Linked DNA regions of Bombyx mori. The protein of the gene in region 1 purifies or fractionates together with the protein of each later gene. This does not show direct contact. Links are inferred from orthologs where the notes say so. Each region holds a gene or a part of one and is shown on either strand. Other genes may lie near its edges.

The links.
Region 2: the proteins of RRP12-like protein (region 1) and pre-rRNA-processing protein TSR1 homolog purify together in Homo sapiens (affinity purification with mass spectrometry; 3 studies listed by BioGRID and IntAct, counting the BioPlex papers as one, with this or other methods). This does not show direct contact. The link is inferred for Bombyx mori from reciprocal best matches to the Homo sapiens genes RRP12 and TSR1.

The regions. Positions count from the first base shown.
Region 1 is NC_085122.1:2,609,107-2,613,326, forward strand, and holds the start of RRP12-like protein, read left to right. Parts: upstream 1-1,407; 5' UTR 1,408-1,593; coding exon 1,594-1,729; intron 1,730-1,937; coding exon 1,938-2,190; intron 2,191-2,880; coding exon 2,881-3,007; intron 3,008-3,392; coding exon 3,393-3,692; intron 3,693-3,801; coding exon 3,802-3,885; intron 3,886-4,220. Other genes in the region: merlin, read right to left, coding at 721-807.
Region 2 is NC_085128.1:3,653,815-3,657,768, reverse strand, and holds the start of pre-rRNA-processing protein TSR1 homolog, read left to right. Parts: upstream 1-1,141; 5' UTR 1,142-1,175; intron 1,176-1,471; 5' UTR 1,472-1,610; coding exon 1,611-1,707; intron 1,708-1,775; coding exon 1,776-2,046; intron 2,047-2,131; coding exon 2,132-2,870; intron 2,871-3,119; coding exon 3,120-3,629; intron 3,630-3,739; coding exon 3,740-3,954. UniProt on the Homo sapiens protein: Required during maturation of the 40S ribosomal subunit in the nucleolus.

The DNA.
Region 1 (4,220 bases):
TTCATTGTACTATTTCTGATAAAATTTAATCTTTGACATTCAGTTGAGTGATAACTCATGTTATAATGTCAAAGGAACTCATTAATCTTCACACAAAATATACAGCATTTACAATGTTAAGTATAGTAGAAACTTCTTTGTTAAAAAAATTATATACATCCAAATATATGTGATATTCAAGTTTACATATTTAGCTTGCTTTTAAAAACTGTCTAAAGTTACACATTCTAAAGATATTTATTATAATTAATATAAAATGACTTCTGTTTTTACACTCTTTAATTTTTAAAATTACATTAGTGTTTCTAATATTTAGGAAATGAAAACATTAATCCAAACAAACTTTTTAATTAAATTTCTGAATATTATATTTCTATGTTTTTTAATCAAATCATTTTAAAAGAAATCATCATCATGAAGAAATTTCAAAACTTAAATATTTAACGCGAGCAACCTTACATACATGGTAAAAATTTAAAGATAATTATTATTTATAATGACATTTTTATTAAGCAATGTGGTCAAACAGATAAGAGTCATAGAAGATATGATCATTATACCCTCAACATACAAAGTACTTGCAATGTTCATTAATATCATCAATTAACAAGTGCAGGGCGCCTCCGCATGACTCATAATACGATCGGATGAATACTTAGTACCTACTAAATGGAAATAGTGTAAACAAAAAGGTTTACCACAACAGAAAATACAGTTTACCTCGAGGTTGAACTCCAATTCAGCATCCAATGTGCATACTTTAACTGGAAAAGATTTAGCAGCTTTCTTCCTCCGGAAGGGCGGCATTATTCTTATATCATTTCTCGTTTACAAGAATCACGAAACACCACCGAGGTTATGAATTTTCAACTAGCATTTAACTAATTACACGGCAACGTCTCCCGTTTACGTAATGAACACTCGATAAAGGAATGCGTGTAATTTCACATTGCGTACTATTTCCAGCGGTTATTATTTACAAACAAGAAAAACGTCAATGAAACAAGCAATGCGAAGGTGAATGAAAAACCTATTGAAAGGTAAACGTTCCATTCTACTTTAAAATACATCGGACTGGTCATTGAAATGAAGTTTAGGTCACGTATAACGAAACGTAATATGGATTTGAAAAATGAAAGAAAAAATCGGACAATGGGTTCAATGAAGTGATATTAGTTTAATAAAATGTTGCGGTTGATTCCTGAACTGAAATAGTTTATTTTAATATTATTATTTTTTAGATATTTAATTAATCTAATATTTTTTAAGTAATGTTTTTATTCCGTAGTTTACCTAACTCTAAACTTCAGCTCTCGACCCCGATTAGATGTGATCCACAGTATTTCTAACTACTCTTAAATCTAATTGAAACAGTTTTACTTTGCAGGATAAGACTTGCGTTCATTATCCATTTTGCCTAGAAAGAATGTGTTTGACGTTTGACAGTAATTTGACAACTATTTCATTTTGCTTGCTGCATAGACCTATTTCCTACTTCATTGGCTTGCTGTCATTATTTTCAATCAAAACACTGAACACTTTTTCCCCACGTGTGTTACATCTTTCATTTGCATATTGTTATGAAATACTAAAATGGGTAAATTTAGATCAAAACTTAAAGGCAAAACGAAGGGGAAACGATGGCAGAAAGGACAGTCATCAAATTCGAACCCGAAAATTCAAAAATACAGGGAGATGGCAAAATCCCGGTTTTTTCAGGAAAACTTAGGTATGTTCTCTCTAAAACTTCTCAAAATCATTCGTTATGGAAAAACGGATTTATAAACATCACAAAAAGTTGTTGAACAGTAATTTCAAAGTAAAATTTCCTTATAAAATCATAACCTAGAACATGACTAAATTAACTAATCTCATACTTTTTATGTTAAAATTAAGATAATTTCCTTATAAGTGACTCCTCTAATTAACTTCTACAGGCAGCACTGGCTTAACACAGCAAGCGGTGTCCAAGCATGAAGCTATGATGACATATGGACATAAAACTAACAAAACAAAATCAGATGCTGAAAATGAACTGACCATAGTAAAAGAGCTTGAAAATATGTCGGTCAAGACCGGAGACGAGGGATCAGAGTCTGAATACTCTGGTACATTAAGATCAGGAACATTTAAGACATTTCAAACATTTGCATCTGATTGGAGTCAATGTTCAAATATCAGCTTTCATAAGTAAGTTAAAGTTTAAATAGATATTTTAATTTTATTGCAGTATTTGAGACAGTACCTGAAAACAGGTTTCTATACTCACAATTGCTAATGTGATATTGAAAATAAAATACAAAATGTGGATAATTACTTAAGTAAGCCTTTATATGCACTTTAGTTATGACTTTAAATAGTCATGACTAGGAATTATTTGGAAAACTACTTGGAATAGAAATTATTTGGAATTCAGTGGAATACTGAATTATAATTCTAAGATGAAACTTAGGACATGTTCTTCTTAAAAAAATCTCTTTTAATCTTTTTTCATTTCATACTTTAAGTACCACTTTTTCATGAGAGACTTGCTTATTATAAATTTGGAATAAATTATATCAAGTACTAAGAATTTTTGTGAAATAATTTATGACCAAAACTCATTGCAACAAAATAAAGTATGCACCAGTGAATAAGTAAGAGCTAAACAAATATACTCTCAGATATATTCAATTGATACTTGCAGAAGAGAAAGTATTTATACATATTTGGCTATAATTTTACTTTATTTTTTATATTACTTTGACTTAAATCAAAATCAATTTACCGAAATACCACATCACATCTTTTTATTTCTTCAATAGATTGAGTCTTTAAGTTTAATGCTCTTCATTCCTTTATAAGCTAAGATACACTCATTTTTTATAAAATTTACTGTAGATTGCTAAATCGTTTTGATTCAAACAATGCACTGCACAAGGAAATGCTAGCAGTGCTGGCGGCTGTGACTGAAGTTATCAAAGAACAAGGAGGTAAAGAGACTACAACGGAATACTTTGCTGCTCTTGTAAGTAATAACGGTCATAAATTTCTTAAACTGAAAGCTGATATCTTATACTTGGATATATAGATACAGTGAAACTAATAATAAATAAAAATAAATGAAACTAATGTTTAAGTGATGGCAAAATTTTCAATAATATCTTCTTTTTGTCCAACTAGTGGGTCGGCACAGCAAATTATTCTACTCCATTCTTCTCTTTTATCAGCCGTCATCTTAACATTCACTTCCCTCTCATATCGTCATTCACACACTCCATCCATGTTTTCTTCGGTCGACCACCTCTACCTTGCACTACCATTTCCATACATATCCTAATCAAATGCACCTTCTCTCTACGCATCACATGTCCAAAATTTTTAATAATATACTACTATATATTTCTGTATAGATGGAAACTCTAAAGGCATCCGAACTGGAAGACAATTTAGTAGCCACAATAACTTTACTATCAATGGGCATCAAAGCAGTACCACAAGCAGTACTGCGTAAACAATTTTCGGACTCCTCAACAATATTTATGGAATTACTCGAGGAGCATGCTCAGTCTGAAAATGGAGCATTGCTGAGGAGCACAATTGGATGTCTGTCGGTGCTGCTGAGAGCTCAGGAGTATGCTGTCTGGGGTGATTCATCAACTATGAGAGTGTTTGAATCCGTTCTGGCCTTTGCACTGCACTCTAAACCCAAGGTCTGTTCTGAACCAGATATTAATTTTATTACTTTTTGAATTGATTTTTATATTGGTACAACTCACACATTCCAAATAGTAATTGTTTATAATTTTGTAATCTGTGCAGGTTAGAAAAGCGGCACAACATGCTGTGGTATCTATACTACGCGGAAGTAGCTTCATGATACCATCAGAGGATAAAAAAATTAAGGTATTTGAACAAAATCTAATTATATATTATGCTTTAATGAAACGTCCAAGTTTTCGAAGTGCATTTATTAAGTTACTGTTACATAAACAAAGAACGACAAATATATAATGATTATAATAATTATGAAAACAAAATAAGTTTTTTTTAATATGGTCTAAGAGCTGAGTTACGTTAGCAATACTAATGTCACAAACAAGCTGGTGCTGTATACCAATCTTCTCAAACCTCGTTTGAATTAGACCATATTGTGCACTAAATACTGTGGAATGGATTTCAACCCTCAATTCAATTCAAACGCAGTGTCTAGATCTCTAAGTGGTAAGAATCAGCTGTAT
Region 2 (3,954 bases), on another chromosome or scaffold:
GTATGTAAGTAATTCTGACCTGTAGGACAAACTCAATAAAGGGGGAGAACAAAATAAATGGTTTATGCATATGAAAGCTCTCTAGAAAACTCAGCAAGATTTCAACAACAAGATTCATCACTAACAAATCCATTCTTTTTTTATTGCTTAGATGGGTGGACGACTTTACCTGATATTAAATGGTTACTGGAGCCCATAGACATCTACAACGTAAATGCGCCACCCACCTTGAGATATAAGTTCTAAGATCTCAGTATAGTTACAACGGCTGCCCCACCCTTCAAACCGAAACGCATTACTGCTTTACGGCAGAAATAGGAAGGGCGGTGGTACCTACCTGTGAGGACTCACAAGAGGTCCACCAGTAAGTACCACCAGTAATTACGCAAATTATAATTTTGCGGGTTTGATTTTTATACACGATGTTATTTCTTCACCGTGGAAGTCAATCGTGAACAATTGTTAAGTACGTATTTCATCAGAAAAATTGGTACCCGCCTGCGGGATTCTAACATCGATGCATCACTAGATCCGAATGCACCGGACGTCTTATCCTTTAGGGCACGACGACCTCAAAATTCGACATCTTCTGAAACTGCCGTTTTTGAACCAGAAATAGTTTATAGTTCCAGAAATCACGCTATAAAACAGGATCGTGTACAAATGAATAGACAATAACAATAGTTAAATAAAAAAAATATATATGTTTTTTAAACTGGCGGAAAGCCACGTTCAGCAATTTTGTTTCATTTCCCTGCTTAAGAGACTTTTGCTAAAATTATATGATTACCTAATAACTTGTAACCATTAAAAACTGTATAAAGAGGAAGAAATTCTAAACTGAGAAAATGAAATCGCTTAAATAATAAGCGTCCTAAAATTAAGTCAAAAGGTCCCTAATTAAACTGAAATGCACCGCTGCCTAAAACTGTTTTAAATTAATTTAAATATGTAATTCCTTTTCCAGTCATTTTTTTTAAATTTCATGGAAAAGACATGGCTTTAACCTTTATTACAAAATTAATTATTAATTAAATTATTTTTCTTTTGCCTTGTCAATGAACGAAAAGGAAAAAAAACGGATGTAAGACTGGTTTTGTATTATCTATGACTGGTATATTATCTATGACCAGATTGGGACTTTTTGGCGGGAACGCGAGGAGTGAAGTTGTGTGGTTTGTTTTATTTTGTCAATTTAATGTTTCTTCAGGTTTACATGTGTTATACACATAATAACGGTGGTTTAATAACTGTTTAATATCTGTGAAAGTGTATAAAGTTGCTGGACGTAACTTCTTGGTATCCTCCAAAAAGTTCACTGAAAAAATCTCAGTAAATGATTACATTACACTGAGATTATATTTCATCCCATATCATCTCATCTCATTTCATTTCATTTCATGTCAGTCGATTAATGTCTCAAATTAATCATCTTGATTTCACGCCATTTTATCATTTTTCTTAAAAATAGGAGACGTGACTTAAAGGTATTAGTTACCAAGTCATAAAGTACCTTATCAAAAAGATTGTCAACATGTGCTTTTTTTATTAGTAAATAAATTCAAATTGAAATCAGCTAGCTTGCATTTAAGTTTTGAAAAACAGTCAAAATGCAACAACCACATCGTCCCGGCCATTTCAAGCAGAGCAATAAAACTCATAAATCACGCCATCGCTCAAAACGAGGTATCGCCGCTGCTGTAAAAGGTTAGGATGTTTTCACTAAACCTATAAAATCGCTATTATAACTTTATTTACCTAAAGCTGTGTTTCAGGAAAAGTCAACTTGAAAGAAATTGTTCGACGTAATCGTCGTGAGCTTAGAAAAGACGATCGCCGTCATCAGGCTTCACAAATTCGCAAAAATAAAAGGGAAGAGGTTCTAGCTACGAAACGTGCTTTAGGAGGCACTAGGAATCCGCCGTTTCTAGTTTGTGTCGTTCCGCTTAATGCGCAACTCGATGTAGGATCGGCACTCGCCATTCTGAAGACCTGTTCTGATGGGGCTGTCGTAAACGAGTCTGAAAACGGAATTGTACACATCGGGTATGTTTATGTTTGTACTATGAACATAAAGCTAGACCTCAAAATTGACAGTAATTTTGCTGAAAATAATTATTTATCATTCTAGGTTGCCAAATTTCAAACAGCGGTTTTCGTTTATTTGTCCTGAAGTAGGTGACGACTTTGCACTTCTTGATGTTTTAAAAATAGCTGACACTGCCCTCTATGTAAGCTCAGCTTTAGAGGAACCAGTTGATGAATGGGGAGAAAAAGTTTTAGCACTCTCTATGGCCCAAGGAATGCCTACCCCTGTAGTAGTAGCAATGGATATAGAGGGAGTCCACCCAAAGAAACGCACTACAGAAAAACAGAATGTTCAGAAATTGGTCTCAAAATGGCTTCCAGAAGAAAAGGTAATGCAATTAGATAAAAAATCAGATGGTTTGAACTTGTTAAGGAAAATAGGAAATCAGAAACGTAACATAATACATCATAGAGAGAAAAGACCTTATATGCTGGCTGAGGAAGTTGAATATGTACCCGATTTAGAAGGTAACAGTGGTACTTTAAGAGTATCAGGGTATTTACGAGGAATGGCACTTAATGTCAATGGACTTGTTCATATTACTGGACTTGGTGACTTTCAAATGACTAGAATAGAGGGTTTTGAGGACCCCCACCCATTTCATTTGGGGAAAGAAAATACTAATGATGATGGTATGTATGCTGAAGTCACAAAAATGTCAGTTCTCGCAGTAGCTGATCCTGCGAAGCAAGAGAGTCTTCAATCAGAGAATGTGCCAGACCCTATGGATGCAGAGCAGACCTGGCCAACTGAAGAAGAAATTGAACAAGCTAATTTAGAGGTAATGTAAAAATAATTGTAAAAATATTGTCAAGTATATTTTGCTGGAGAGTAGTACATCTTGATTCAAAACATAAAGCATTGATTTTTTTTTTTTATTGCCTTTGTAGGCAGACGGGCATACGGCCCACCTGATGGTGAGTGGTTACCGTCGCCCATGGACTTCAGCAATGCCAGGGGCAGAGCCAAGCCGCTGCCTACCGCATGTAATGCAAATAAATAATTACAAAATTGTCTAAACTGTTTACAGACACAAAAGAAAAAAATCAAGAAAGTACCCAAAGGTTGGTCTGATTACCAAGCTGCTTGGATTGTCGAATCTGATGCCGAGGAAGATGGTGATGAGTCTGATAGTGGAGATGAGAAAGAAAACGATGAGTTTATGTCTTGTGAAGATGATAATTCTGATCCAGAGGACGATAAACAGTTCAATGATATTGAATCTGTTACCGAATCAGAGGTTGGACCCACAGATGAGAAGTATGATGCCACAATAGACACTCAGGAAGAACATGAGATGTTGCAGAAGTTAGCAGCTGCAAAAGAAGATCAGCAATTCCCTGATGAAGTTGATACCCCGCAAGATATCCCAGCTAGAGAGCGTTTTATGAGATACAGAGGACTAGAGTCTTTCAGGACATCAGCATGGGATGTAAAGGAAAATTTGCCTCAGGATTATTCTAGAATATTTCAGTTTGAAAACTATGAGCGCACCAGGAAGAGGGTTTTTAAGGAACTCGAAGACAGTTTAGTTAATATGGTAAGTAGAGTATAGAAAACTTTTTTTTTTTCAATATTCATGTTGTGTTCGTTAACAGTTTAATTTATGTATGGTATTGATTTAATACAAAACCAAACATTTTATTACAGTATGGCTTTTATATAAGAATACATGTAAAAGGTGTTCATCAAGATTTATGGAAAGCCTTTAGTACAGCAAATCCGAATGCTCCGTTGGCTGTTTTCGGACTTTTACCACACGAACACAAAATGTCTCTGATGAATGTAGTATTAAAACGCACTGGTGCCTGCAATGAACCTATCAAGAGCAAGGAAAGACTTATATTCCAAGTTGGTTATAGAAG